Neurospora crassa OR74A: one gene and its partners. The protein of the gene in region 1 purifies or fractionates together with the protein of each later gene. This does not show direct contact. Links are inferred from orthologs where the notes say so. Each region holds a gene or a part of one and is shown in the gene's direction. Other genes may lie near its edges.

The links.
Region 2: the proteins of NCU09437 (region 1) and NCU06272 purify together in Saccharomyces cerevisiae (affinity purification with mass spectrometry; 3 studies listed by BioGRID). This does not show direct contact. The link is inferred for Neurospora crassa OR74A from reciprocal best matches to the Saccharomyces cerevisiae genes UTP22 and RRP5.
Region 3: the proteins of NCU09437 (region 1) and NCU02428 purify together in Saccharomyces cerevisiae (affinity purification with mass spectrometry, with the first as the bait; 4 studies listed by BioGRID). This does not show direct contact. The link is inferred for Neurospora crassa OR74A from reciprocal best matches to the Saccharomyces cerevisiae genes UTP22 and EMG1.
Region 4: the proteins of NCU09437 (region 1) and NCU03794 purify together in Saccharomyces cerevisiae (affinity purification with mass spectrometry; 7 studies listed by BioGRID, with this or other methods). This does not show direct contact. The link is inferred for Neurospora crassa OR74A from reciprocal best matches to the Saccharomyces cerevisiae genes UTP22 and PWP2.
Region 5: the proteins of NCU09437 (region 1) and ckb-2 purify together in Saccharomyces cerevisiae (affinity purification with mass spectrometry; 4 studies listed by BioGRID). This does not show direct contact. The link is inferred for Neurospora crassa OR74A from reciprocal best matches to the Saccharomyces cerevisiae genes UTP22 and CKB2.
Region 6: the proteins of NCU09437 (region 1) and NCU01502 purify together in Saccharomyces cerevisiae (affinity purification with mass spectrometry; 6 studies listed by BioGRID). This does not show direct contact. The link is inferred for Neurospora crassa OR74A from reciprocal best matches to the Saccharomyces cerevisiae genes UTP22 and UTP7.
Region 7: the proteins of NCU09437 (region 1) and NCU08968 purify together in Saccharomyces cerevisiae (affinity purification with mass spectrometry, with the first as the bait; 3 studies listed by BioGRID). This does not show direct contact. The link is inferred for Neurospora crassa OR74A from reciprocal best matches to the Saccharomyces cerevisiae genes UTP22 and DIM1.

The regions. Positions count from the first base shown.
Region 1 is NC_026507.1:182,558-186,574, reverse strand, and holds the start of NCU09437 (hypothetical protein), read left to right. Parts: upstream 1-1,217; 5' UTR 1,218-1,302; coding exon 1,303-4,017. UniProt on the Saccharomyces cerevisiae protein: Involved in nucleolar processing of pre-18S ribosomal RNA and ribosome assembly.
Region 2 is NC_026503.1:2,145,542-2,149,606, forward strand, and holds the start of NCU06272 (mito ribosomal protein S16), read left to right. Parts: upstream 1-1,265; 5' UTR 1,266-1,427; coding exon 1,428-1,886; intron 1,887-1,944; coding exon 1,945-4,065. Other genes in the region: NCU06271 (hypothetical protein), read right to left, coding at 12-299.
Region 3 is NC_026507.1:2,521,126-2,525,173, reverse strand, and holds NCU02428 (nucleolar essential protein 1), read left to right. Parts: upstream 1-1,304; 5' UTR 1,305-1,386; coding exon 1,387-1,438; exon of another isoform or gene 1,439-2,027; coding exon of another isoform or gene 2,028-2,055; coding exon 2,056-2,324; intron 2,325-2,395; coding exon 2,396-2,872; 3' UTR 2,873-3,548; downstream 3,549-4,048. UniProt on the Saccharomyces cerevisiae protein: S-adenosyl-L-methionine-dependent pseudouridine N(1)-methyltransferase that methylates pseudouridine at position 1189 (Psi1189) in 18S rRNA.
Region 4 is NC_026505.1:2,437,194-2,441,162, reverse strand, and holds the start of NCU03794 (periodic tryptophan protein 2), read left to right. Parts: upstream 1-1,169; 5' UTR 1,170-1,343; coding exon 1,344-1,474; intron 1,475-1,541; coding exon 1,542-3,969. Other genes in the region: NCU03795 (cell division control protein 12), read right to left, coding at 1-105. UniProt on the Saccharomyces cerevisiae protein: Required for bud-site selection and cell separation. Also involved in nucleolar processing of pre-18S ribosomal RNA.
Region 5 is NC_026501.1:3,448,477-3,452,577, forward strand, and holds ckb-2 (casein kinase II subunit beta-2), read left to right. Parts: upstream 1-1,463; 5' UTR 1,464-1,837; coding exon 1,838-1,894; intron 1,895-1,977; coding exon 1,978-2,223; intron 2,224-2,305; coding exon 2,306-2,860; 3' UTR 2,861-3,601; downstream 3,602-4,101. Other genes in the region: NCU11228 (DUF1339 domain-containing protein), read left to right, coding at 22-786; NCU02755 (PAP2 domain-containing protein), read right to left, coding at 3,932-4,101. UniProt on the Saccharomyces cerevisiae protein: Regulatory subunit of casein kinase II/CK2.
Region 6 is NC_026502.1:3,252,765-3,256,700, forward strand, and holds NCU01502 (small nucleolar ribonucleoprotein complex subunit), read left to right. Parts: upstream 1-1,366; 5' UTR 1,367-1,516; coding exon 1,517-1,825; intron 1,826-1,890; coding exon 1,891-3,246; 3' UTR 3,247-3,436; downstream 3,437-3,936. Other genes in the region: NCU01503 (pre-rRNA processing protein Tsr1), read right to left, coding at 1-730, 898-1,006; NCU01501 (mitochondrial peptidyl-tRNA hydrolase Pth2), read right to left, coding at 3,624-3,936. UniProt on the Saccharomyces cerevisiae protein: Involved in nucleolar processing of pre-18S ribosomal RNA.
Region 7 is NC_026505.1:5,864,828-5,868,292, forward strand, and holds NCU08968 (dimethyladenosine transferase), read left to right. Parts: upstream 1-1,194; 5' UTR 1,195-1,442; coding exon 1,443-2,231; intron 2,232-2,289; coding exon 2,290-2,665; intron 2,666-2,727; coding exon 2,728-2,759; 3' UTR 2,760-2,965; downstream 2,966-3,465. Other genes in the region: NCU08967 (arrestin domain-containing protein), read right to left, coding at 1-629; NCU08969 (hypothetical protein), read right to left, coding at 3,319-3,465. UniProt on the Saccharomyces cerevisiae protein: Specifically dimethylates two adjacent adenosines in the loop of a conserved hairpin near the 3'-end of 18S rRNA in the 40S particle.

The DNA.
Region 1 (4,017 bases):
AGATTCGTAAAAAAGGGCAGAATACTTACTTTTAAAGTCACATCTTTATTTACCTATACTAGCTTTAAATCTAGCACTTTAGTAATAATATTATTATATTAACTTTCTCCAAACTTAATTAACAGTATAATCTATATTGTAATTTTATTATATAAAGCTAAAAATATATATAGGACAATACTTTTTCCGTAGCCCATTACTGCGACTAATATTATATCCTTCTATTCGTACGCCAACCGTACTACCGCCTTAACCTAGCCTTTTCGAGGGTCTTTACTATTACTAATAATATCTTTTATTACCCGCAATATACGCTAGGGGTCAACGGAGGGATCGAAATTAGGATCTATAGTATTAATACCTATAGAGGATAGAAAAAATTAAGGAAAAAAAATAACGTACTATAGAGTAAAGAAAACTATACTACTATATTAATAGTCGTATAATATCTATACCTACAAAGTTTTATAGTATTGGGATAAAAAGCCGTACTGTAATATATAGCTAACTAGGCATTGAATATACGGACTTACGTAAAGTTTTTACATTTTCTATAATAATTAATACTTTCAATAGTCGTAGAAAAAAATTAATAATACCATTAAATCCGTCTCAACGAACTCTTTCTCCTCATATCTTTTGTATAACCTAAATCTATTGTTTTATTTTAACGCTATATTATCTTTCTTAGAAGTTTATCAATATAAATTCCCCTATCCGCTTCTAGTCTAATTGGGAATTCAAACCTCTTTTTTAGGCGTTCTTATTCAATACCGGAAAGTATACTAAAAGAATGGGTACACGGATCACAATTTAGAAACTTTAGTAACTTTCAATTTATTATTTTTTTTGAGAACCCCGGGCGCGCAGCGCACGGGCCAGATGTGCGCGCAGCGCACTTTCCCAGCGGCCGCAGGCCGCCCATGCCTAAAAAAGAGGGTCTGATTCTGAGATAAGGGCCGGGCGCTCACTGTCTGTCAGTTGAACCCCACAGGGGCAACCAACCAACATTGCCCCACCCGACTGCCCCTGTCGGGTCTTCCACTGCCCCTGTTTGTGGATTGACCTCTTATCTCTTATCGGAGCTCCAGAGTCTCAAAAAATTTGGGAATTCCCGTCGCAAACTTGAACGAGACTCGAATTTGCAGAACTTCAATTGGAGGGACGACGCTCGGTCCACTGTTGTTTGGCTTTCAGTGCTCTCTCTCTCAGTGTCTTGTCACTATCAATTTCCTGTCTCCATTCCCAGGACATCCTCCTCCACCATCACCATCATATACCTATACCACCGCCACACATACAATGGAACCCGGATCAGCAAAACGACGCAAGATTGGCCATTCACGCGGCGGTGAAAGCGCAGTTGGCAACATCGACGCCGCTGCCTCCTCGGGTCTCTCGCGTGGCCGCGCATTCATCCTCGAAGCCGAAGAACTCGTCGACGAAGTGAAGCTCGACTATGCCACGGCCCTCGAAGGCGTCGACTCCCTCCTCCACAAGATCAAGGGCTCCATCGAAGCCATCGAAGCCCACGATGCCCTCCAGATCGCCGAGGCTGCCACCAAACTCGAAAAGAAACACAAGATCCCGATCCCGTTCCCCGAGCCGCGCCCGTCCGACAAGTCCAACTACAAGGTCGCCTTCGCAAAGCCTTCCCAGTTCAACGTTGTCGGCAGCTATGTGTCCAAGACCATGATCAAGGCCCAAAAGAGCCATGCTGTGGATATGGTGGTTGTGATCCCCGGCGAGACTCTGCAAGAGAAGGACTACCTCGACCTGCGATACTTTTACAAGAGAGCCTACTTCCTCGGTGTTGTGGCTGCTGCCCTACAAAAGGACCTGGCTGATGATGGAGAGCTTTCATACGAATACCTGAATGGGAACACCCTGTCCCCCATTTTGTCGTTGAAACCAAAGGTGGAAGGAGAAAAAAAGGAGGGCCAGCTGGACTACAGAGTGCGCATCATCCCTTGCGCCCCAGACAACTTCTTCCCCAAATCAAAGCTTCACTTGGGCGCTACCCTCGTGCGCAAAGCTGGCGGTGACGAGTCCAAGGCCGCGACCAAGCCTACGCCCTTCTACAACTCGACGATTGTTTCCGAGTCCTGCTTCTTTCCCTACTTGAAGCTCTTGCGACAAACCGAAAAGAAATGCGCCGCGTTCAAGAAGGCTTGCATCCTGGGTCGGGTGTGGTTGCAACAACGAGGACTGGGAAGCGATATGGCGGACGGTGGTTTTGGTCACTTTGAATGGGCGGTACTTTTGGCCCTTCTGCTCCAAAGCGGCGACAGCACCAAGGGACATGCGCCCTTGTCTACATCCCTGAGCGCCACCCAGTTGTTCAAGGCCATGGTCCAGTTCTTGTCTGTTACTAACCTGTCCGAGAAGCCGTGTGTTTTGGGAACTGCCACCGTCGAGTCCGAAACCACTGGTCCGGTTCTCTTCGACGCTGTTCGTGGTTTGAACGTTGCCTTCAAGATGAGCAACTGGTCTGCGGCCAAGCTACACCAACACGCCAAGTGGACAAGGAGCCTTCTCAACGACAGCACTGCCGACCAGTTTACCCCTACCTTCATCCTCAAGGCCGACCTCCCCTGGCAAAACTACGACCTCATTGCCCACCTCAACTACGATGGAAAGCAGGACAAGACAGAACCGATTGACTGCCGGGGACGGCTATGGGAATACAGCGACAAGGTGCACAGGGTTCTCAAGCGGGCTCTTCAGGACGAAGAACTAGGTGAAAGGGCTCGGTCGATTCACATTCAACTACCCAAGAGCTCATCCTGGGATCTCACCAAGAAACCCTCCACCAAGCAGAACCACACAATCGAGATTGGTGTCCTCTTCAATGCCGCCAACATGACCCGCTCTGTCGACCGCGGTCCGGCCGCTGGACCTAGCAACGAGGAGAAGGAGGAATGCGCCAAGTTCCAGCGGTTCTGGGGTGAGAAATCGGAACTTCGTCGGTTCGAGGGTGATTCTATCAGGGAGACCTTGATCTGGTCGTCCACCTCCCCCTTTGACCTCTGCGAGGAAATTATGCGCTACATCCTCAAGCTCCATCTTCGCGTTGGCTACCTCGAGGACGAGCTCACCTTCCACGGCGATGGCTTCACCGAGTTGATTCCTATCAAGCCGACCGACACCTCCGTCTTCAACGCCGCTCGCAAGGCCTTTTCCTCCTTCGAGAAGGATATCCGCGACTTGGACGACATGCCGCTGCACGTCAGGCAAATAGCCCCCATCTGCCCCGAACTGCGACACGCCTCCGTCAAGGTGCCCTTCTCGACCGTCAACAAATCCGGCCCACGCCCCCTGGAATGCGTCATCTCCTTTGAAGCCTCCGGCAAGTGGCCCGAATCCATCGTGGCCATCCAACGCACCAAGATCGCCTTCCTGCGCATGATCGGCGACCTCCTGGAGCGTTCCAAGCCCGGCGAGGTCCGCTCTTACGTCGGTCTCGAGTCCTCTACCACCACCAACACGGAACTCGAGAACCTCGCCTACCTCGACATCGTCTACGAGTCCGGTCCTGCCTTCCGCCTGCGCATCCACTCTGACCTCGAAGAGGCCCTCCTCACGCGCCAATCGCACGACAAGACCATCGACCAACACCACCGCCACCAAGCCTCCGTGCTCCTCTCCAACTTCCGCAGACTCTACTACCACCTCCCTCTGCACACTCAATCCATCAACACCTTCGCCACCCGCTTCCCCGCCTTCTCGCCCACCGTCCGCCTGCTCAAACACTGGTTCTCCTCACACAAACTCGCCTCCCACTTCACCCCCGACTTCATTGAACTCGTCGCCCTCCAGACTTTCTTGAGCCCCTACCCCTGGGACGCACCCTCCTCCCCTTCCGTCGGCCTTCTCCGCGCCCTCCTCTTCGTCAGCAGATGGGACTGGCGCTCCGAGCCGCTCATCGTCGACACCAACAGCGACATGCCATCGTCCGAACGCTCCGCCATCGCCACCCGTCTCGAAGCCTGGCGCAAGATCGATCCGCTCATGAAC
Region 2 (4,065 bases), on another chromosome or scaffold:
AAATAGGCTACCTCTTTCAGCCCTCGCTTGCTCGAAATAGGAGTTGTATTTGCGGTCGCATTGGGCTGGGATGTTGATAGAGCATTATCAGGTGTCGAGGTCGTCGTCGACGAAGGTGGGTTCGAAGCGGTCGGCATTGGAACGGCTTTTGAACGCCATATAGAGGCTGCTAGGCTCGAGGACGATTTCGGCGGCATATCGGATGTGGACGTTGAGGACTCGGTGACAGCACTACCATCCGCCGGCTCGGTTGGAGGGTTTGGTTTCGCCTTTTTTCGACGACCCATGGTGAAGACCATGGCGAGCAAGGCCAACAACCTAACAGATTCCAGTCCCCTAAGATTATAGGGCAAACTTTGGCCACATTGCCGTTTATTTCGTCAAGTTGAAAGGATCGAAAATGGGCATGCGACGAGTATTGCGTGGCGCCTATACCGTAGGGACAAGTCGACAAGCCGACGAGGCACCGCTCAGGCTACAAATCCGATGTGTACTTCTACTTACACTACACGGGTACCGCCGGCGGGGAGGGAGCGCTTTCATCCATTATCAAAGGCTCCAGCTCGGATGCATGTACGTCATTTGCCAGGTAGCGCACAGTCCAGGGGAACCGGATAGGTAACGAAGTACCTACACTTTATTACCTGGAGAGGGGGACCATGTGAACGAATGCTGATGTTATTACAAGTACCTACTTGATGGTCTAGTGTAGTATCAAATTCATTCTTCCATCAGACTAGAATGATATTCCAATACCGTACGATCCTAACATCAGACGACATGTTAAGTGTAGGTAGGTACCTCTAGACAATTGTACATCCCGCCTTGGAGAATTATATGTACCTCGCAATGGCCAATAGGTAACTCATTGATAGCACGTTCTCAGCAATCCCCTCTATCTCTAGGGTGTAGGTACCTAACGGCCTTCAGTACCCTACCTCTACTTACCGTGTACTTCCCTGCAACGCATGCGGCTGGCCCGTTGGCTGCCCGTCTCCGCCCGTGCAAAAGGTTCGGTACGTACCTGGCCATGAACGTGACAGCGTCCTGTCAGCTGACGCCGTGGCACTCGTGGACACAAGACAGGCGCTGCTAGTACCCCTACAGGGGAACCCCGCAAGACTCAGAACCCGCAACGAACCGACATGCACGCGGCCCGCGTACCTAGAGATGGCAGAATCGTAGCCGATGCTCACCGCATTCCTTATCGTTATCTGGCCACGGTGAACGGCGACGGACCCACCAAAAATTTTCGGCAGCGGACAGTGGAAGCGGCCTGGGTCAGTTTTTGTCAGTGCTTGTCGATTCATTCTGAAGTGTGAAGGCGGGCAAAGGGACGAGGGATCCAGTGCGGGTATCTCTCCAATTGCAACTCCAAACACATCCGTCCATCCATCAGGTCCTTTCTTTATACCCATCAGTTCACAATGGGTGCGCAAAAGCGCAAGGAAGGCCCGGGCGGCGCCCCAGTCAACAAATCAACACAATCAGCCTCCGAATCGAGACCGTCAAAGAGACCAAAGTCCAACGATGCCGGCAGCAAGGCGGGCGCAAAGACGGGCAAGCAGGGCAACAAGCCGGCTCCCAAGTCCGACAAGCCTGCTCCTCCTGCTCCTACCGCCCCGGCTACATCTACGCTGCTCAAGGAAGAGGAGCCAATGTTCCCCAGAGGCGGCGCCAGCATCCTGACACCTCTCGAATACAAGCAAATCCAAGTCCAGGCCAAGAACGACGCCCTGTTCGAGGAGCAATCCAGCAAGGCCACCGCCAAGAAGGCTGGTGAGAAGGAGGGCAAGCAGAAGAAGTCCAAGAAGAGGTCAAAGTCCGACGACACACCCGCGAAGCCCGATGCGGACGCCGTCAAGGTTGAAAGTCTCAACTTCAAGGTATGCGCCGGAACACTCATGGGTTCAGTCCTATCATCCAAGTACTAACTGTCCGCAGCGTCTGGTAAAGGGCTCCTTGGTCCTTGGTTCCGTCTGCGCCATCAACTCTCTCGACATCGCCGTTGCTCTACCCAACAATATTATCGGCCATGTCCCCATCACTGCGATTTCCGCCCCCCTAACAAAACGCTTGGAGGCCAGCGCCGGTAACGACAATGCCGAAGAGTCAGAAGACGAGAACGACAACGACGTTGACCTCGAATCCCTCTTCCAGATCGGCCAGTATGTCCGCGCCTACGTTGTATCGACGGTCGACGAGGCTTCTACACACACCCCTGGAAAGGCCAAGCGCCATATCGAACTCTCCCTTCAACCTTCTCTCGCCAACACCGGTATGGCGGAGCAAGACGTTGTTGTGAACAGCACAGTTATGGCCGCCATTGCCAGTGTGGAGGACCACGGTTATGTTATGGACATCGAGATCGCCGATTCGAAGTTGCAAGGTTTCCTTGCTCGCAAGCAGGTCGACAAGAGCATCCCCCAGGAGGCTCTGCAGCCAGGTGCCGTCCTCCTCTGTATCGTCACCAAGAACGCCAAGGGCAAGGTCGTTCAGTTGTCCACATTGGGTGAAACCATGGGCAACGTCGAGAACGTCCCTTCGACTGCTACCACCATCGACACATTCCTCCCCGGTACTGCCGCCGACGTGCTCGTGTCCGAGGTTTCCAGCCACGGAATTGTTGGCAAGATTATGGGATCGCTGGATGTCACCGCTGATCTGGTTCACTCTGGCGCTGGTCCGGATGGCATCGATCTTGAAGACACATACAAGGTCGGCTCTCGTCTGAAGGCCAGAGTCATCTGCAACTTCCCTACTGCAAAGCACCCCAAGCTGGGTATCTCTGTACTAAAACACGTTACCTCGTTGAAGCCAAAGACTGCTTCCAAGGACGACCAACCAGTGGTGCCATTGCAGGCTCTCCCTCACTCGACGATCGTGGAGAAGTGCACCGTTAAGCAGGTCGAGCCTGAGATCGGTCTTTACGTCGATGTTGGTGTCGAGGGCGTGTCTGGGTTTGTGCACATCTCCCGCGTCAAGGATGGCAAGGTTGATGCCCTCTTCGAGAACAGCGGACCCTATAAGGTGGGATCTGTTCACGCTGGTAGGGTTGTCGGCTACAACGCCTTTGATGGCATGTATCTCATTTCCTTGGAGAAGAGTGTTCTTGAGCAGCCATTCCTTCGCATCGAGGACATTCCTGTCGGTGCAGTTGTTTCTGGTGTGGTTGAAAAGATGGTGGTCAACGCCGCCGGTGTTGGTGGCCTTATTGTCAAGATTGCTGACGGTATCTCTGGCTTGGTCCCCGAGATGCACTTCGCTGACGTTCACCTTCAGAACCCCGAGAAGAAGTTCAGGGAAGGCCTGAAGGTGAAGGCGCGTGTGCTCTCGACTGACGCTGCCTCTCGCCAGATCCGCCTTACTCTCAAGAAGACGCTCGTCAATTCCGATCTTCCTGCCATCCAATCGTATGAGCAAATTGCTGTTGGCCAACAGGCGCTCGGTACCATCATCAACGTCTTGCAGCACGGTGCGATTGTGCAGTTCTACGGCAGGCTCCGTGGTTTCTTGCCAGTTTCTGAGATGAGCGAGGCCTACATTCAGGATCCCAAGGAGCACTTCCGCGTTGGCCAGACTGTCAGCATCTACGTCATCAGCTTCGACCCCGATGCCGCCAAGCTTATTGTTTCTTGCAAGGACCCATCTGCCTTTGGTCTTGAGAAGCAGTTGGCCCTCAAGAAGCTTCAGATCGGTGATGTGGTGTCGGCTAAGGTCACGCAGAAAACTGACGACGATGTTTTTGTTGAGCTTGCCGATAGCTCTCTCAAGGCCATCCTCCCCGTCGCTCACTTGACGGACAAGTCGGTCAGCAAGACTCAGTCTGCCCTCAAGAAAATTCACGTCAACCAGACTCTTGCCGAGTTGGTGATCTTGGAAAAGAACGAGGCTCGCCGTTCCATCATTCTCTCCCAGAAGCCCAGCCTTGTCAAGGCTAGCAAGGAAGGCAAGTTCCTTACTACCCTTGATGGTGCTCGCGTCGGAGATGAGGTTTCTGGTTATATTCGCAACATCACTGCTACGGCTGTCTTCGTCCAGTTCGGTGGCAAGTTGACCGCCTTG
Region 3 (4,048 bases), about 2.3 Mb from region 1:
TTGAAGGATAGTTCGTTTATCCGACGATAGTACTATTATAATTAATTAGGTTATTAAAGTTATTAGTAAAGTAATTTTCTTATTAAAATAAATTATTATATATTAATAAATTATTAGGCGGATTATTAGCTAGGCCGGGGTTAGTTAAATTATAGTTAGCTATAGTATTGAAATTAGCTTTTAGATTATAGTATATTTAATTACAATTATTAATGAATAATAGTATTGAGAATAAAGAAAGTACTTAGTAGGAGTATAGATAAGAAGTAGGAGTAGAAATACGTTTAAGAATTGAGTAATTGGTAGACGGGGTTACCCTTTATATTGAGGTCTGTAGGTATTCGGATTAGGGTAGTATAATATAATATTTTAATTAATACGAACCAATACAAGTAAATTGGTATAGTATAATTAGGAAGCGCGGGGAGAAGGTATAAGGGAAGGATTGGGAAGGATTTAGAGATATAATAGTAAAGGATTGTTATTATTGTTTGCGATTGCAGGGTTGGTGTTGAGCGATATAGGGTCTTTGCGATTAGAGGTTTAATGAACCGTTTGAAGATTAATTAGTTTACTTAGTTAAAGGTTCTAATTGAAAGGGGTTTAGTTTGGTTAATTAATTTTTAATTGTAGCTACTATTTGATACGGGTAATTGGAGCGCTCTGTAAATAATAGTATGATGATATTTGAAAGCGTTATGAAAAATGATGTAGAAGGAAGAACTAGAAGCTAACGGCTAGCCTAGAGGGTAAGCCTTGGGAAGGCGGTTCTGACGGTACCATTTTTATAAAGCTCGGACCACCCATTAAAGTAATGTAGCCTTGAGGGGGTAAAAGTCCAAAAGTTCAAAGCCTTGTATTTCGACGATTTTTAGTCGTATGAGGGAACTAAGGCTACCATTGGAATCAGAATAAAATGTTCTATATAAGAGTAATTTTTATTTATCTTTACTAGCTTCCTTGAATTTATAATATATAATAATATATAGTTGGGTCCTACAGCGGCTGACGGCCGAAATGCTCAAAATTGGCTCAGACCTGCTACCGCAGAAACGGGTGGGGTGGGGTGGTTTTGGAGGTTGTGGGTCTGACTGAGACTATTTCAAACGATGCTTTCTTGTGAGGACTGATGGTTGCCGGCGCGCGATATCAATGCCAAGCTTGGGGTAGGGGCTGACTGCTCTCAGTTCGTATGGCCCCACACAGTCGGTTTATCCAGGTCGTGTTATCGAGCTTCGTGAACATATAAAAGGGCACGTGCGCCCGCGCACCCGCGCTCTGGGCTCTCGTCTCGTTCTTCCTCCAACTTTTCCGCTTCAATCTTGCTGCCATCAAGGGTCCATTTGGTTTTCCATCGTTGTCTTTGCTCCGTGCTCCCCTGCCACCATGTCGTCCGGATCATCTTCCCCAGAACACCCCCGTGCTGGCAAGCGGCCTCGTAAGTACCCTCCTCGACCTTTTAATCTCTTCTATGTCAGATAATCATTTTGGTTTGGGCCCTGAATGCGAGGTGTTGCGGCGCTCGAGGTATGAAGTTTTTCGGAGGTTTGAGGGGCGGGCTTGAGCGTTCCCAAGCTGTATTGCTGCGTGTGTCCCGGTTCCGTTGTTGCCAAGCATCATAGCGCATGCGCAGCGCAGAGGACCAAAAAAAATCAAACAAAAAAATCGACGGGAACACCCTGACGGGAAAGACGCCGCAAAGACGTACTACTACTGTACACGGAAAGAGGGGCCCGGGAAGCCTGGAACTTCGGTACCCCACTCTCTTTTGACTGATCGCCAATGGTGGCCAATGCCATTTCGTTTTTTTCGCTCGAAAACTCGAAAGGCCGTCTTGTCTCCATTCTTGCGTTCTCTTGGCTACACATCATCCATCGTCCCGTCCCTAGCACCATCACGACGACCATATCAGCAACTATCATCAAACCTACCGTTTCTACCAGCGCCGCCGCCTGCCATTTCTCCTACCTGTCGTTGCCCCCGGACATTTGGTTATTCGATTATTGAGTGAGCTTCAGGTTTTCAACATGTCTAACCACGACGTGACCATGGCAGGCACCCAGTCGCTCCCTCCTCCGGCACTGCCCCAACTCGTTGCTGAGCAGCACATGCCCATCCCACCTACCGACAAGGATACTAAGAGGCTCATCGTGGTACTCTCCAACGCCAGTCTCGAGACCTACAAGGCGTCCCACGGCGGCTCTGGCCGCATGGGCATGCAGCGAGAGGAAAAATACTCGCTCCTCAATAGCGATGAGCACATTGGTGTCATGCGCAAGATGAACAGAGATATCAGTGACGCTCGCCCCGACATTACTCACCAGGTTGGAAACACTCCCAGTCTGCATTCAACATGCGGATACTGCTACTGACACTCGCCATTTGTGTACTCTAGTGCCTCCTCACGCTCCTTGACTCGCCCGTCAACAAGGCCGGCAGGCTGCAGATCTATATCCAGACCGCCAAAGGGGTCCTGATCGAGGTCTCGCCTGCTGTCCGTATACCCCGCACTTTCAAGCGCTTCGCTGGTCTCATGGTCCAGCTTCTCCATCGTCTGTCCATCAAGGGAACCAACTCACAGGAAAAGCTCTTGAAGGTGATTCAGAACCCTATTACGGACCACCTGCCTCCCAACTGCCGCAAGATTACGCTCAGCTTCGACGCCCCCGTTGTGCGCGTTCGCGAGTACATCGACGCTTTGGGCGAGAATGAGAGCATTTGCGTCTTTGTAGGCGCCATGGCCAAGGGCGCCGATAACTTTGCGGATGAGTATGTCGATGAGAAGATTTCCATCAGCAATTATAGCTTGTCAGCCAGCGTAGCGTGCAGCAAGTTCTGTCACGCCGCTGAGGATGCGTGGGACATCATTTAATCGACAATCAAACCGTGGTGAGGAACATGGAGGGATGGGTGAAAGGTCTGTTTGCCTTTCTCACGCGTGAGAGAGGCTGCGGGGGCTTTGGCCAGCTTCGTGATACAACATCGCGATTTTGCGGGCTAGAGCCTCCGGAACTTGGGTCGCCTGTGATTGCGCTGTCGCTGTTTTTGCAACCAAAACATGGGGCGTTCAACAACGGACTCAAGACGCTTTCATCGTCTACGCAAGACCATTCAACCTGGCCTGCCTTCCCTCCTCTCCTTTCGTCATATACTCTTCTTCGCCTCTTCCTAGCTCTTTCATACGTCCAGCCTTAGCTAGTCAATACTATCTTCTTGCGGATACAAAGTTCTCGGGTCAAGTGAAACGCAATTTTTTGTCGAGCGAACGCTTGCCATGCGCCATTCCAACTCAGACATTGCCATGACGGAAAGAAGGGCAAGTAGCGACTTGCCCAGTTAGTATCAGTGGTAGAGAATGGGAAGTGACGCACTGGAACCATGTTTTGTCATCCTTCTTTTTTGCTTACACGATATCAGCACTACTACCTAGTAGCCATCTACCACAGGTCAGTGTTTTCGTGGGTTGCTCGTTTTTCGGACTGCGACGCCTCACTACCCTCCTCTCCTTCCCAATGCCTTTATTCTCCCAAATAAAGCATTTGCAAAACAATGTGTCTCCCTTGCTGCGTAAGCTCGTTTGATTTCATTTTCACGTGCCTGTATCTCTTTCCATGGCCATTTGAAAGCCTGACGAATAGTGCCGTGTACTCGCAATGTACAAGAAGCGTACAGGCCTTGATGTATCTCACATGGCATTCTTCATTCGGCCAATAAACCGCGGAAAGTAACACCCTGGGCATTGGCGTTTGGCCACTGGGTCTTCAGACCGATTGGATCATGGGCTGCAGGACCATATCACCTGTGGATATGAAATGGTTATCCCAGTTGCCGTCAGCCTGGCATTTACTCCCGAGACTGTTCGTATGAACGCGCACTGGAGCACTCCCCGCCTTTGCTGTGCCTTGCAAATTTGTGAATTGGATCTTTTGGGTTTGAATGATCTACAATGCTTGTGCTCCAGGAACACACAACCCAGTGGTAACAGGAAAGATGTGTAAAATGTAGTGTTGCTAATATTTTCTTTGAAATTTTTTTTTTATAAATGAAA
Region 4 (3,969 bases), on another chromosome or scaffold:
CATAATAGTAAAAGCAGCGCCTCTCTTAGCAACAATCTTGTGTCGCTGGTTGGGCAGATTGGCAATGCCAATCGGTGAGGCGCTCTCGGTAGTGGCAGGGGCCATCTTCAGCTGGGCGAAACACGAAACTGGGAGATAATTATGGGTAGAGGATTAAGTCACGATCCCGTTGCTGTAACGGCGAGAAGAAGCACCGGCAATTGGAGAAAAAGAGCGTCAGGCGGGATGCGTGGTGTACGGGTATGGTGGTGGTCGTGAATGGGAATCGAAATTAGGTTGGTGTTGACAGTGGACGGGTGGGAGCGAGAGGCAGACGGGGGATGGAACTGCAGTGGTGAGTGGACGGGGGACCCGTCGTGGAGCTCTGTGCTTTCGTTCAGGGGAATTTACTTGTTCAAATTTCCACACCACATTCATCTGGCCCAACCCAGCACCACACACCCACGCAGGAGAGAGCACCAGCGACGGGGACGGGAGCGCCAGGCCAAACCTAGCCCACACTGACTGAACCCCAAGCACTCCAGGCACTGCAGGGCCGCGGCAGCAGACGGACGGAGCAAGCAGCGAGCAAGCAGCATTCGATTCCATCCTCCAGATGAGGTGCCTGGGCGGGGCCACGGCAGCCGTCTGTGATGATGCCGAGAAGGCGCACGGTACACGATCCATATAATCCAATGGCACCTTTCGAGCCCGGCATTCTGCAGTAGTGTAGAGCTGCCACCACACAAGGCCGCTCTTGACTGGCTGCGCGGCAGGGAAATGAGTGGACCCTCCCCTTTTCCACTTGCTTCCCACACTTCCCCAATTCCAGGTCCCCAGAGACGGACCTACGCTGGCAGCTCTCCACTGAAACGCGCTTGCCAGGTACCCTCGCCGAGCATTTAATCGATGCGTGCCTTCCCTGCTAGCGCCATTGGCGGTGATCAGCCATTCATTGCCATGGAAACTTGGTCGACCCTTTGACCCTTTGATTGCCAGCTCTGCCAGCCTTGCACTGTGCTTGGTGACCGTGCTTGGTGGTGCCGTGCAGTGGTTGGTCTCGCTGCGGTCGGTGAGGCTGCCAGATACGCCAAGTCTTTTGCCAGCTGGTGCCAAAGCGAGGAGCTAACCCGACTCCATTCCCCGCCAAAAAGTTTATGAAATTTTTGGCTGGCAGAATCGCCATTGAACGTACGGGCGGTCTAGGCGCAACAGCAGCAGCCTGTAACTGAACTTCTGTTCCACTTACCTATACAGACTCGAAAGAGTCCTCCAGTTCCTGTACATAATCGAATCCCCAGATACTATCCCAGTTCTGCTCCATCTCCAACGTTGACAGTCGAGGCATGGAATAGTGTTTGAAAATGAAGACCGACTTCAAGTTTTCTAATCTACTGGGCACAGTCTACTGCCAGGGCAACCTCTTGTTCAGCCCGGACGGTACCCATCTCTTCTCGCCCGTTGGCAACAGGGTGACAGTCTTTAACCTTGTCGAGTACGTCTCAAGATTCCCTACACACCTGCCTGGCGCATGGCTTGTAAGCTGGCTAACACGGTCGCAGTAACAAATCATATACCCTTCCCTTCTCCCACCGAAAGAACATTGCGCGTATCGGTCTCACGCCCCAGGGCAACCTCCTACTCTCCATAGACGAAGATGGCCAAGCTATTCTCACCAACGTGCCCCGGCGCGTAGTACTATATCACTTCTCCTTCAAGGCTCCAGTAACGGCTCTCTCCTTTTCGCCATCGGGGCGCCACTTCATTGTTGGACTCGGCAGGAAAATCGAGGTTTGGCACGTTCCCTCAACACCCGACGCCAACGCCGACGGCGAGCTCGAGTTTGCGCCCTTCGTCAAGCACCATACCCACGTCCAACACTTCGACGATGTCCGTCACATCGAGTGGTCCCACGACTCGCGATTCTTCCTCACATCTTCCAAGGATCTCACAGCAAGGATATGGAGTGTTGATCAAGAGGAGGGGTTCACACCTACAGTTCTGTCCGGTCACAGGCAGGGTGTCGTGGGCGCGTGGTTTTCCAAGGATCAAGAGACGATTTACACAGTCAGCAAGGACGGCGCCGTATTCGACTGGCAATACGTTGCGAAGCCTGGACAGGACGAGGATATGGTGGACGACGATGACCTGGCCTGGAGGATAGTCAACAAGCACTATTTCATGCAGAACAGCGCCACCGTACGATGCGCCGCTTTCCATCCCGAATCGAACTTGCTGGTTGCCGGTTTCTCGAACGGTATCTTTGGCCTCTACGAAATGCCCGACTTCAACATGATCCACACTCTCAGCATCTCCCAGAACGAAATTGACTTTGTGACGATCAACAAGAGCGGCGAGTGGCTGGCGTTTGGCGCATCCAAGCTTGGTCAGCTTTTGGTGTGGGAGTGGCAGTCCGAGTCTTACATTCTCAAGCAGCAGGGCCATTTCGACTCGATGAACTCCCTCGTTTACTCTCCGGACGGTCAGCGGATTGTCACAGTCGCCGATGATGGAAAGATTAAGGTGTGGGATACGGAATCGGGATTCTGCATTGTTACCTTCACAGAGCACACGAGCGGCATCACTGCTTGCGAGTTCTCCAAGAAGGGCAATGTCCTGTTTACCTCGAGTTTGGACGGTTCCATCAGGGCTTGGGACTTGATCAGATACAGAAACTTCAGGACCTTTACAGCACCAGAAAGGCTATCTTTCTCTTGCATGGCAGTTGATCCTAGTGGCGAAATCGTGGCGGCTGGCTCCGTTGACTCTTTCGACATTCATATTTGGTCTGTCCAGACTGGCCAGCTCCTAGATCGTCTTTCGGGACACGAGGGCCCTGTGTCATCCTTGGCCTTTGCGCCTAACGGCGGTCTTCTTGTGAGTGGTAGTTGGGACCGCACTGCCCGTATCTGGTCCATCTTCAACCGCACACAAACAAGCGAGCCTCTCCAGCTCAACTCGGATGTTCTCGACATTGCCTTTAGGCCAGATTCTCTCCAGATTGCCATCTCCACTCTCGACGGCAACCTGTCGTTCTGGTCGGTCTCGGAAGCTGAGCAGCAAGCTGGTCTTGATGGACGCAGGGATGTCTCCGGCGGTCGGAAGATCGGTGATCGCAGGACTGCGGCCAATGTTGCCGGTACCAAGGCTTTCAACACCATCAGATACAGCACAGACGGATCGTGCCTTTTGGCCGGCGGAAACAGCAAGTATATTTGCTTGTACTCCGTCACCACCATGGTTCTCCTGAAGAAGTACACCGTGAGCGTCAATCTTTCAATTCAAGGCACTCAAGAGTTCCTCAACAGCAAGCTTCTCACCGAGGCTGGACCCCAGGGTCTCCTGGACGAGCAAGGCGAGGCCTCCGATTTCGAGGACAGGATAGACAGGTCACTCCCAGGCTCCAAGCGCGGCGACCCCTCCGCACGGAGGAAGAATCCCGAAGTGAGAGTAAACGGCGTTGCCTTCTCCCCGAACGGAAGTGCTTTCTGCGCCGCCTCCACAGAAGGTCTTTTGATCTACAGCCTGGACACCACCATCCAGTTCGATCCCTTTGACCTCAACATGGAGATCACCCCCACCTCTACCCTGGCCGTGCTCGAGAAGGAGAAGGACTACCTCAAGGCTCTCGTCATGGCTTTCCGCTTGAACGAGGCCGGTCTGATCCAGCGTGTCTTCCAGGCCATCCCTTACACCGACATCCCTCTGGTGGTCGAGCAGTTTCCCAACGTGTACGTTGCCAGGCTGCTGCGGTACGTTGCCGCGCAGACCGAGCAGAGCCCTCACGTTGAGTTCTGTCTTCTTTGGATCAAGGCTCTGGTCGACAAGCACGGCGCGTGGTTGTCTGCCAACCGCGGCAAGGTCGATGTTGAGCTTCGTGTTGTCGCAAGGGCTGTTTCCAAGATGAGGGATGAGATCAGGAAGTTGGCCGATGAAAACGTCTACATGGTTGACTACCTCCTCGGTCAGGCGAGCGCTGCTAAGGAGACT
Region 5 (4,101 bases), on another chromosome or scaffold:
ATTTCCTGCTAACAATCCCAGACGCACCTCTTTCTACCCGATATACTGCGGTTCTACCTTAGTAATAACAGACCGATTGAGGCGTTGCGGTTAGCTCAGCAATATGAGCACCTTGAGTACTTTGCGCATGGACTGGAAATACTTCTGCACCATGTCCTGGACGAAGAGGTGGATGCCCATCCTCCGCCTGCTCCAGAACATGCCATCCTCCCACGCGTGCTGTCACTTCTCTCATCGTTCAAGCAGTACTTGGACATTGTGGTGCAGTGTACCCGCAAGACGGAAGTGCGTTCCTGGCGTACTCTGTTCGCCTATCTCCCTCCACCTCAGGAGCTGTTTGAGGAGAGCTTGCAGCGTGGGAGCCTCAAGACTGCTGGCGGCTACTTACTCATCCTCCATACCTTTGACGAACTCGCAACAGCAAGCGAGCAGAGTGTGCGTCTCTTAAGCAGAGCAATGCGCGAGGGCGACTGGGAGCTATGCAAAGAGCTGGCGCGGTTTTTAGCAGCGCTCGATGAAACGGGGGACACGCTGCGTGAAGCAATGGAGCTGGCCAAGATGCGAGTGAAGCAGGAAAGTGAGCTGGAGGATGGCCATGGCAGCGTAGGCAGCGGGCTGGGCACAATGCTTGGAGTTCCTCAGGGTGGTGGTGCTAACGGTGCTTCCAGCACTACCAGCTCATTGATTTCCAATACCAAGGGGATCATAGGTAGTGACTGGGATGCTGACAGGCGCACAATCAGCGACGCCGGCAGCGTTGTCAGTGCTAATCGGTACGAAGGTTAATGAAGTGGATGGAAATTGGAAAGCGGATAGTTGGTTGTAGGATTGTTGGATATCCATAGCCGTGGCGCTCACGATCCTACCAGAACGTCACTTTATGATGAAGCGGGGGTCTTGAGCTCTAGACACATGCTGTAGGGCAACACAGATGTTATAGAAGCCGGGATGTTTCAAGATAATCTAGAACAGCTATAATCACAGGCGACTGGCGTTCTTATCCCCCATTTTTATTTATTTATATATATTTTTTTTGGGTTTTCCGTCTCCAACAATATACCTGCTCAAAAATAAGGCACAAACTGTAGCACTGAACGTCATGACGCCCAATAGAATACCTACCTTAATGACAGAGTACATGCTTCCATCCCCAGTACCTGTGAACGTACAATTAAAGTCATACGCTGGGCCGTTGGGCTGACTGAAGGCCGACGAAAGGTACCCGCCCGCTACCTACCTACCTACCTAGGTAGGTACTTAGGTAGTCAGATGGTCGATTTTGCAGACCTGATAACCTACCTCTGTGTAGTGCCCTGGGTAGGTCGGGACTGCTGATAAACAGACTGCGATGAGCCAGGGGCGGGGGGGCACTGCAACCTGCCCTGCGGGGACCACTGCAACGGCGATGAACCCCCCACCAAAAAAAAAAGTCCCTTGTCATGGACTGTCAGCCTGTTTGGCTCCCGGTCTAGAGTCCAGACCCCCTCGCCTGCCCTGCCGTTGCCCTGCACCAGGGACGGCTTTGAACCCTCTTCCACCTGAACTCCCATCAAACCGTCGCAAAAAAGCATCACAATCCTCTCCAACGTCTTGTCGTCATTGTGCCTTGTGCCAGCTCAATCTCATCCGACTCGGACCTCCCACTCCCCATCTACGGCCCGGCGCGCATTAGTTCGGCCCAACAAAAGGTTCAAACGCCGTACTTGACCCCGGCACCCGGGATTTTGGCCTCGTTGATGCGAAGCGCCAGCCGACGGTCGTTCGCGCCCACTTTCCTCCCACCACCACCTTCCTCCCTTCCTTTTATGCGCCGAGTATAGACGTGGTGTCGCCGGCCATGGATGACTTTGTGAGCGAGTCTGAGAGCGACTATGCCAGCTATTGGCGCGACTGGGTATGCTTCTCTTGCAATTGTTGTTATTGTTTACTACAGTAAAGGTTCCCCAATCATGCTGACATTTGCGCGTCCGCCTGCAGTTTATTTCCTCGCGAGGCAATGAGTACTTTTGCGAAATTGACGAGGACTACATCACTGATAGGTTCAATCTAACTGGTCTCAACACTGAGGTCCAGTACTACCAATATGCTCTCGATCTCATCACCGATGTCTTCGACCTCGACTGCGATGACGACATGCGGGAAACAATAGAGAAGTCTGCTAGGCACCTGTACGGTCTTGTCCATGCTCGATACATTGTCACAACGCGGGGTCTTCAAAAAATGGTCAGTAATCAACTCTCAGCATTCCATCTTCATCCAGCGTCTCCTCGTCTTCATCCGTGACTAACGCACTTCCCACCAACAGTTCGAAAAGTACAAAAAAGCCGACTTTGGCAAGTGCCCGCGCGTCATGTGTTCCTCGCACCCTCTGCTGCCCATGGGTCTCTCGGACGTGCCCAACTCCAAGCCGGTGAAGCTGTACTGCGCGCGTTGCGAGGATATTTACAACCCCAAGTCGTCGCGCCACGCCGCCATTGACGGCGCCTACTTCGGCACCTCGTTCCACAACATCTTCTTTCAGGTATACCCGACCCTGGTGCCCGCCAAGAGCGTCGAGCGCTACATTCCGCGCTGCTACGGCTTCAAGGTGCACGCCGCTGCCGCTCTGGTGCGCTGGCAGAACAGCCAGCGGGACGAGATGCGTAGGCGGCTGAGGAAGCTCGAGGTCGAGAGCGGGTTCAAGGACGCCGAGGACGAGGCTGAGCTTGACGATGATGACGAGGAGGAGGAGGAGGAAGAGGAGGAAGAGGAGGAGCTGGCTGCTATGGATGAGGCTGAAGGTGCCCAACAGCAACATGCGGCGGCGGCGGCAGGTACAGCAACGGGAGGCGTTGCTGCCGGCGGTGAAGGCGTTCATTAGAAAGGGCCTGCTGCTACTGGTGGAGAAGCGGATGAAGAGTATTGGAATTCAGAAGCCACGATTGGAGCCGCCGACGAAGCTGACGATGAAGCTGAGCTACCAAACGAGCCAAACGAGCCGAACCATTGGTTGACACCTCTCATGTCTGCTGCTGCAAGGCTGCGACGGAGTCTCAGGCTAGGGGAGGACTATGAAGAGCAGGCTGAAGTGGAGTTCGATGAGTGGATGGAACAGGCGAGGTACGGGATCTTTTGACTTTTGAGGTGGTGGAATGCATATACCATACAGTATCGAGTAACAAAGTATGAGTACAGGTGCCTCTCTTCTCTTTGTTTTTTTGTTTCTATTCCCGCACCCCATAAGCCTCTACACAGCGGACGTCGGGATCGATGCGAATAAGGGAGAGAGAGCCATTGATAGAGTGTTTATGTTCTTTGGTCTAGCTATACGTCTTTTCGGTTCTTACCAGACGATTTCTTCTCACCTTGCCGGCTTTGCTTCTCTTCGTCTGTGCTGAACTGCACCCTTCTCTGTTTCAAGCCTCCTAAAAACCAATCGTCAAATCGACGGGAAGTTGAACTTAACGCTTGAAAGGCAGTCTCTTGGAGCGTGAAAATTCAAAACGACCAGACCATATATCCAAGCGTCTACTGAGGAAAGATTCACAAGCGGTGTCATGCGGCAACACGAACCTTTCAAATACATGAACTGTTACCACAGCATAAACACGTTGATTAATGCCGAAGACCAGTGTGCTCAAACTTCCCTTGAAGAGTTACCAGGTAGATATGTGTACATATGGATAGGTTCCTCATTTCCCTATCTCAAAACGCCTCCTGAACATAAGAGAGACTGTACCAAAACCCATGTTGGTGACATAAAACCATTTGTTGTTCCTCATATTTCCTCGTTTAGAGAAATAATCGCTTTTGTCATCAAGCCCACCCATCCGGGCCAAGTCCCTACTTCCGGAAAATGCACCTTGACTCTTCTGATCCGACAATGCGTCGAAATTTGCCTTTCATATCTGATCGTCATTTACCCGTCTCTGTAAGCTGTGTCAACCTGTTCTCATTGATCAACGTCAAGCGACGGTGGTTTCCTCCCCGTGATGATCCCACCGGGCTGGTCCGGTCCCACATTGCTTTCCAAACCGGTGCCATTGGCCCGTACCACGGGGTGCCCATAGCTGCTGCCGTGATCTAAAGAATCCGGACTCAGCGCCTCCTCCTCGTCTCCCG
Region 6 (3,936 bases), on another chromosome or scaffold:
GCCTTCAAGCCCTTGCCCCTGACGACACCGGTAAGCACGGTAGACTCACCAAACTTGACCTCCTCCACAAGCATCCAACTCCTCTCGTCTCTCCAGCGAATGCCCTTGGGTGTAGTGCTGCATAGCGAGCGCATGAGGTTGGAGCATTCCTGTCTGTTGTCGAGGCTGAAGACCTTATCCTGTTCGGGGTGGAAGTGGGTGATGTAGGACTTGAGAGACGAAAGAACGGAGAGTCTCTGCTTTTGGGGCTCGATCTTGTTGAGGCCCTGGACGACGGTGAAGAGGGTAGAGAGACCCTGGCTTTCAACGCTGCGCAAGATCAGCTCGCCAAGTTCATCGACCTCTTCCTGCGCGGACAAAACGAGAACGACATAGTCGGCGACTCTGGCAGCGTCCAGGCAGGCGGTAAGGTCGCGCTTGAGGGGGAAGTATTGAAGCTTCTGCTTGAATCTGTCGACGGGAACGCGGAATGCGCCCTCGGGCACCTCGGTCTCGATATCAATGCTGGCGTTCAGGCTCTTGATGGCTTCGGTAGCGTCACCGTCGCTGCACAGGGGGATAACGGCCACGTTTCTGGGGGCACCATCCTTGCCGGCGAAAATGGAGGTCTCCTGGAGATGTTCCTTGTGTTTTTGCAGCTGAAGCTGCTTGTTACGGTTGCGACGGTCGAACTTGGACATGACTTGTTGATGGGGGGTCTTGCGCACACCTCTCTCCTCGGCTACCTTGCCTATAGAATGTTGAAAGTATTAGCGCTGTGTGGACGTTGTCGACCTCTTTATATGCAGCTGTATATTCATGTCTGCTTGGGCTTGGTGCGCCAAAGTTGGGTGAAGTAGAGCATAGTCCAAGGCAACAACCTTGGCATGAGGCACGGCTGTTATATGCAATCCGTACCTTTGGCAGCATTCCGGAGAGCACCCTTGGTAGAATGGCGTGACTTGAAGGGCTTGTTCGACGCCTTGGTCGTCGGCCGATGCGAGTGGCCGCTCACGGCGCCGGGCATATTGCTGGAATCGCCGCCTGCTTTGAACCGAAAAGGGAGCGAGTTTGACGCCAGGATGTTGGACCTGGGGAGGCGATGAAGAGAAGAGGCTGGGGGGTTGGGACTGAAAAGAGATTTCGAGAACCTCTCTGGTCACAATCCGTCTATCGAGTATCGAATAAAGTGATGGGGACAATGTCAATGGCGGGGCACTCGTTGCATTTTTTTGAGTTGTGCGAACATGGGCGGCCGTCTCGCTACTTATCTTATCGGACTCTTGTACGCAGTGGAGCCAATGATCGCTGCGGAACAGCTGCCCCATCCAACTTTTTAGTGGGTCCGGCCCCAAAAAAGTTGTCGAGGAAAGGAAACATTCAAAGTGCCAAAGCGAGGGACAGACACGGGCACACCGAGAAACCGCCAGACCAATTCCATATTCAGCCCCCATCCATATCCCGTCGCCGATCCAACTGTCCTAGTCCACCACACATATTACCCATTCCCATTGTGTCGCGTCGACCCATTGGCACCATGGAGACTACAGACAGGGCCGAAATCTCCCTCTCGAGGGCAGAGCAGCCCAGCGGCGCCGTTGCCATCAACAACGTCCGAAGCGAGTTCCGATCAAAGGCCGAGGCCAACAAGATCCGCAAAGTCAAGGCAGCAGAGAAGTCGTACGGCCGTGGTCGCAAGATCGATGTCAAGAACGTCAAGGACAAAAAGCTCAAGCGCAACCTTACCAACCTCGAAGAAAAGTACCAGACGGCCACGCTAAAGGCCAAGGAGGCCGAAATCCTTCTCGAGAATGCCGGCGGTTTCCTCGAGGCTGAACATGAGCTTGTGAGTAGCCATGGCTTGGGAGTTTATAGCCTCTTGCGCGATACTAACCGCGCTGGTCACGATAGGAACGCACATACAAGGTTCGCCAGGAGGACATCGTCAGCGAAGTCAACATTGAGGTCGCCCAGAAAAAGTTCGACTTGAAGCTCGACCAACTAGGCCCTTACATTTGCGATTTTTCGAGGAATGGCCGGGATCTGATTCTGGCAGGACGAAAGGGCCATGTCGCTACGATGGACTGGAGAGACGGCAAGCTGGGCTGTGAGTTGCAGTTGGGAGAGACCATCAGGGACGTCAAGTGGCTACACAACAACCAATACTTTGCCGTCGCTCAGAAGAAGTACACCTACATCTACGACTCGCAGGGCGTCGAGCTCCACTGCCTAAGGAAACACGTCGAAGTCTCCCACCTCGAATTCCTCCCCTACCACTTCCTGCTGGCCACCCTGGGCACAAACGGCCAGCTCAAGTACCAGGACACATCGACCGGTCAGATCGTCACCGAAATCGCAACGAAGCTGGGCACACCCGTTTCCATGACACAAAACCCCTGGAACGCTATCCTCCATGTTGGTCACCAGAACGGCACAGTAACGCTATGGTCGCCCAACTCGTCAGAACCTCTGGTCAAGCTCCTTGCCCACCGTGGTCCCGTACGATCCATGGCTGTCGACCGCGAAGGCCGCTACATGGTGACAACAGGACAGGACTGCAAGATGGCCGTTTGGGATATCCGCATGTTCAAGGAGGTCAACAACTACTTTACCCGGGCGCCCGCTTCGTCCGTCGCCATCTCAGATACCGGCCTTACCGCTGTCGGCTGGGGCACCAGGACAACGGTCTGGAAGGGTCTCTTCTCGAAGGAGAAGCCGGTACAAGAAAAGGTCCAGTCTCCCTACATGACGTGGGGCGGTGAGGGCAAGCGCGTCGAGCGGGTGCGGTGGTGCCCCTTTGACGATGTTCTCGGTGTCGGCCACAGCGAAGGGTTCTCGTCCCTCATCATCCCCGGCGCCGGCGAGGCCAACTTCGACGCCTTGGAAGTCAACCCGTACGAGACCAAGAAGCAGAGACAGGAGGGCGAAGTCAAGCAGCTGCTCAACAAGCTCGCGCCCGAGATGATTGCGCTCGACCCCAACTTTATCGGCACCCTCGATTTGCGGTCGGCGAAGCAGCGGGAGGCGGACAAGGATCTGGACGCCGGGCCGCCGGATCTGGAGGAGGAGATGCGCAACCGGGCCAGAGGCAAGAACAGCGCGCTCAAGAAGTACCTGCGGAAGCAGAAGAAGAAGAACATTATCGACGAGAAGCGGCTCAAGGCCGAGGAGATGTACAAGCAGATGCAGGAGAAGAACGGGGAGAGGCACAAGGAGAAGGTGGCCGAGCTGGGGCCTACGCTGGCCAGGTTTGCGAGGAAAGAGTAGAGCATGAAAATTGGTGGGAGGGGTGGAAGAACAGAGTACATGATGATACCCAGAATCAGTCACTTAATGAAACCAAAGACGGTCAGTCGACCGGATGCTGTGCTGATACTATATTTGTTTACTTGATATGCTTACGTGTATGTGGAGACTCATCTTGTTGCTTGATAATCTATTCAAAAGTAAAAATCAAGACCTACGCCTTACATGCATCAAAGTCTTTACCTGACTGTATCGCTCTCTAAGCCCAATGATACTTTTATACCGTCCCCGTTACGCCATTTTTCGTGCTTCTCGTCCTTCTCTTTGTATCTACGTTCATGCTACCGTCAACATAACACACTTTCTCCATCCTCTCCCCGCTACAAAGTCTTCCCCCTTTACAGCAACTTCAAGTGACCAGTGATCTCATCAACCAAGCTCTTAGGCGCCGGACCAACGCCCAGCACGGTCCTGGACCCAGAGGCAATCTGCGTACGGCCAGCATCCTGAATCACCTCAGCAGTGACGCCCAAGCTGCGCGCCTTGGCCATCAGCTCCAGCATCTCATCCTCGGTCTTGGTTTGCACGGCGATCTTGGCCTGGCCGTTGCGCTCCCACTGACGGAGCAGGCGGGCCGACAGCGACAGGGGCTCGAGCTGGGCGGCAGAGAAAAGGCGCTTGTAGCAGGCGAGGGTGGCGTGGGAGCATTGA
Region 7 (3,465 bases), on another chromosome or scaffold:
TCAATAGGAAGGAATTTCAAGCCGGTCTGCATCCTCCAGTTCTCCTTGAAAAAGCCCGGTCTCTGAATGGTAACCTTGACATAGTATCGAATCTCGCACTGGCCTGGGAATCCGGTGAAACTGGGTGGGAGCGTCTTTGTGACATGGGAGTACATCAGCTGCTTGGTGCCGTCCATAACACGAATGCCACCGAGACCGAACAAGCCAGAACCCGACGCGATTCCACCGGCACCAGAAAGGCCTCCTAGTTTGGCCATGGCGACAGGATCACCACAAGCATTGTTGAAGGGAAACTTGAACTGGAAGGGGAATCTGTGTTGACCAGCGGCTAGGACATAGGGCTGTGGCAAGGCGTTGGTCTTCTCGTCGGGAAAGGCCTGGGTGACTTTGTATAGGATCTTGTGGTTCTCGTAGATAACATCGCCGGTTGGAGTGCGCTCCCTCTGAGCAATGCCGGTCCCTGAGCCATCGGCGGGTACTCCCAAGGCCGACTTGGCTTCACCCTCGAGTTTGACGATGATGCCTCCGATCTGTTCGGGACGACTGAGAGTGAGGACGACCTGGCCGCGGATAATATCCAGGTTTGTGTAGAACTCGGGAGGGTTTTCGAGGGCGATCCGTATCGACATGGTTGCGATTGATTATCGTCAACTTCAACAGAGAAATGAGGCTATCACCACATGAACCAAAACAACAAGGAATAACCAGTGGGTCACACGCCCAGGTATGAGCCAAGGAGAAGATGATGGAAAAGAATCTGTTATTTTTTTTTTACAATCCGATTTCCTCGAACCTTGGGAGGGGGTTGGTATTATAGGTAGGTAGATGAAAATTCAAAGCCACTGCCTGTCTGCTTCGATGTGATCAGCTTCACACGGCAGTTAGGTGATGACGGGGAAGACCCTCACTGAAAGACCGGAGGATTTGCCGTTTAAGTGCTGGGTAGCAATTTGAACCCGCCGCACATGTTTAGGGCGGCCTCCGCTGTTACGTCAGACGGGGAATCATCGGTCGGAAGTGGCCGAGGTGCCTGGATTCCACTGATGTTTCCAGTGGGCTGGGCCGCCGCCGCCGCCCGCATGGTGTCTCAATGGGGAAAGCGGTCAGCCTTTTGCTTATCTTATCAGCCACATGTCTGGCGGGGCATCTTTTTTTCTGCCGCCTGATCCACTCAAAAAAAAGATGTCGGCCGGGGTCCGGCGCAGGCACAAGGAAGCTCTCTTCAGCCTGCGGTACCTCTGTCCGTCTCACAATAGAGGTACATACTACAGCCATTGCGCGACTGCCGTGACTTGAGAACGAACCGCCCAAGTCTCGACCCGGACAGAGATCGACCGAAACGACGAAACCCTCCATCGATCCCCCAACCTTCTCGTCCGACCTCGATTCCGAGTCGTCTTCCTCCACACACCTACCCACGACAGCATTGACTAGACTACACCATGCCCAAGGCAGCGAAGGCGTCCAAGAAGTCGGGGGGCGGCGGCAACCCCTACGATCGCAAGGGGGGCGGCGGCGGCGGCAAGGCTACCAACACCAACATCTTCAAGTTCGACAAGGACTTTGGCCAGCATATCCTCAAGAACCCCGGTATCTCGGATGCCATTGTCGACAAGGCCTTCCTCAAGCCCACCGATGTCGTCGTCGAAGTCGGTCCCGGTACCGGCAACATCACGGTCCGCGCCCTTGAAAAGGCAAAGAAGGTCATCGCCATCGAGCTCGATCCTCGTATGGGTGCCGAAGTTACCAAGCGTGTCCAGGGCACTCCGCTAGCCAAGAAGCTCGAGGTCATTCTCGGCGATGTCATCAAGATGCCCGAAATGCCTCCATGCGACGCTCTCATCTCCAACACTCCCTACCAAATTTCCAGTCCGCTCATCTTCAAGATGTTGGCCATGCCCAACCCGCCCCGCGTCGCCGTACTCATGTTTCAAAGAGAATTCGCAAAGAGACTGGTGGCTCGGCCGGGTGATGCTCTCTACTCGAGATTGAGTGTCAATGTCAACTTCTGGGCCACATGCAAGCACATCATGAAGGTCGGCAAGCAGAACTTCAAGCCTCCTCCCAAGGTCGAGTCCGACGTCGTCAGAATTGAGCCCCTTGTTGGTTCGGCGCGCCCCAACATTGCTTTTGAGGAGTTCGACGGTCTCCTTCGCATTGCTTTCAACCGCAAGAACAAGACCCTTTATGCCGGCTTCAACCAGAAGGAGGTCCTCAACATGTGCGAGAGGGTACGTTTCTTCCCATGTGTTCACAAGCTCCAACTCTTACTGACCACTTCGTTTCCAGAACTACAAAGTCTACTGCACCCTCAACAACATCCCCATCGACGAGTCCCTCGCTTCCGCGGCTGACCTTGCTGCCGCCGGCGCCACCAACGATGCCATGGACGTCGAGATGGACGACGACAACGAAGACAATGATAACGAAGAGAACAACGACGATGACGAGGCTATGGAGGAGGATGAGGACGAGGACATGCCCGTCTTCTTCAAGGAGCAAAACGACGCCAACGCTAAGGACGCCAAGACACCTAGCAAGAACCCCAAGTCCAAGGTGGCCTTGATAGTCAAGGCCAAGTTGAACAAGGTGCTTACGAGCACCGGTTTGGCGGACAAGAGAGCTAGGCAGTGCGATCAGAACGATTTCCTCAAGCTGTTGCTTGGTACGTTTTCTTCCCCCTCGGCTTCCCTTTCTGATGGACAACCTCGCTAACACTCCTGACAGCGTTCCACGAGGAGGGTATTCACTTCTCTTAGACGTGTGTTATTATTGCGAACACGCACAGAAATCATCGGCGTACGGGGCGTTTTTTGGGGATTGGGAAAATGTCGTTTTTTAAAAATTCTTTGTTTTGTTCCATTTGTCGTGGAAATACCATTGATCTGGATGCTAGGATTTGCACAATCATAAAAGCCAATGAATCTGGCTGCCACTTTTGCCAGGAATCGAACCATAATCATCTTTCGTTTGGATTGCTTGAGCGTCGGATGTTGTTCTCTTCGTCACGTTGCTCAAACATTGCTGAGAAGCAATTGCTGACAATACCAGACCTACCGCATCGAGATGTCTTTTATAATAAAACCATGGATCGGGGGAGTGGTCAGTGACCTACGGGACCGAGTCCTTGGAGTAACAGGGAAACGGAAAGCACAGGAGAGCAAGCTGTTTTCCTACCCTACCTCTCTCAGTAACAGGCGCCGAGTGCGTCGTTACCAAGCCAGAAAGCGTGGAAGCCTTCTTTCGATAGCTTGTCAGTTGTTCAAAACCATTGAAGAGGGGCAAAGAAAAAGAAGAAGAACAAATGGTGACCGCAACTTATATTTTGGAAAGCACGACACTGGATACTAAAATGTGTCGCCGTTCTTGTCCTTCTCTCCTCCACTCCTCCATTCTTCGACCTCCATCCTCCGCACCCAACACCCATAGCCCAAAAACCACGAAGGTCTCAGCACCCATGCCATC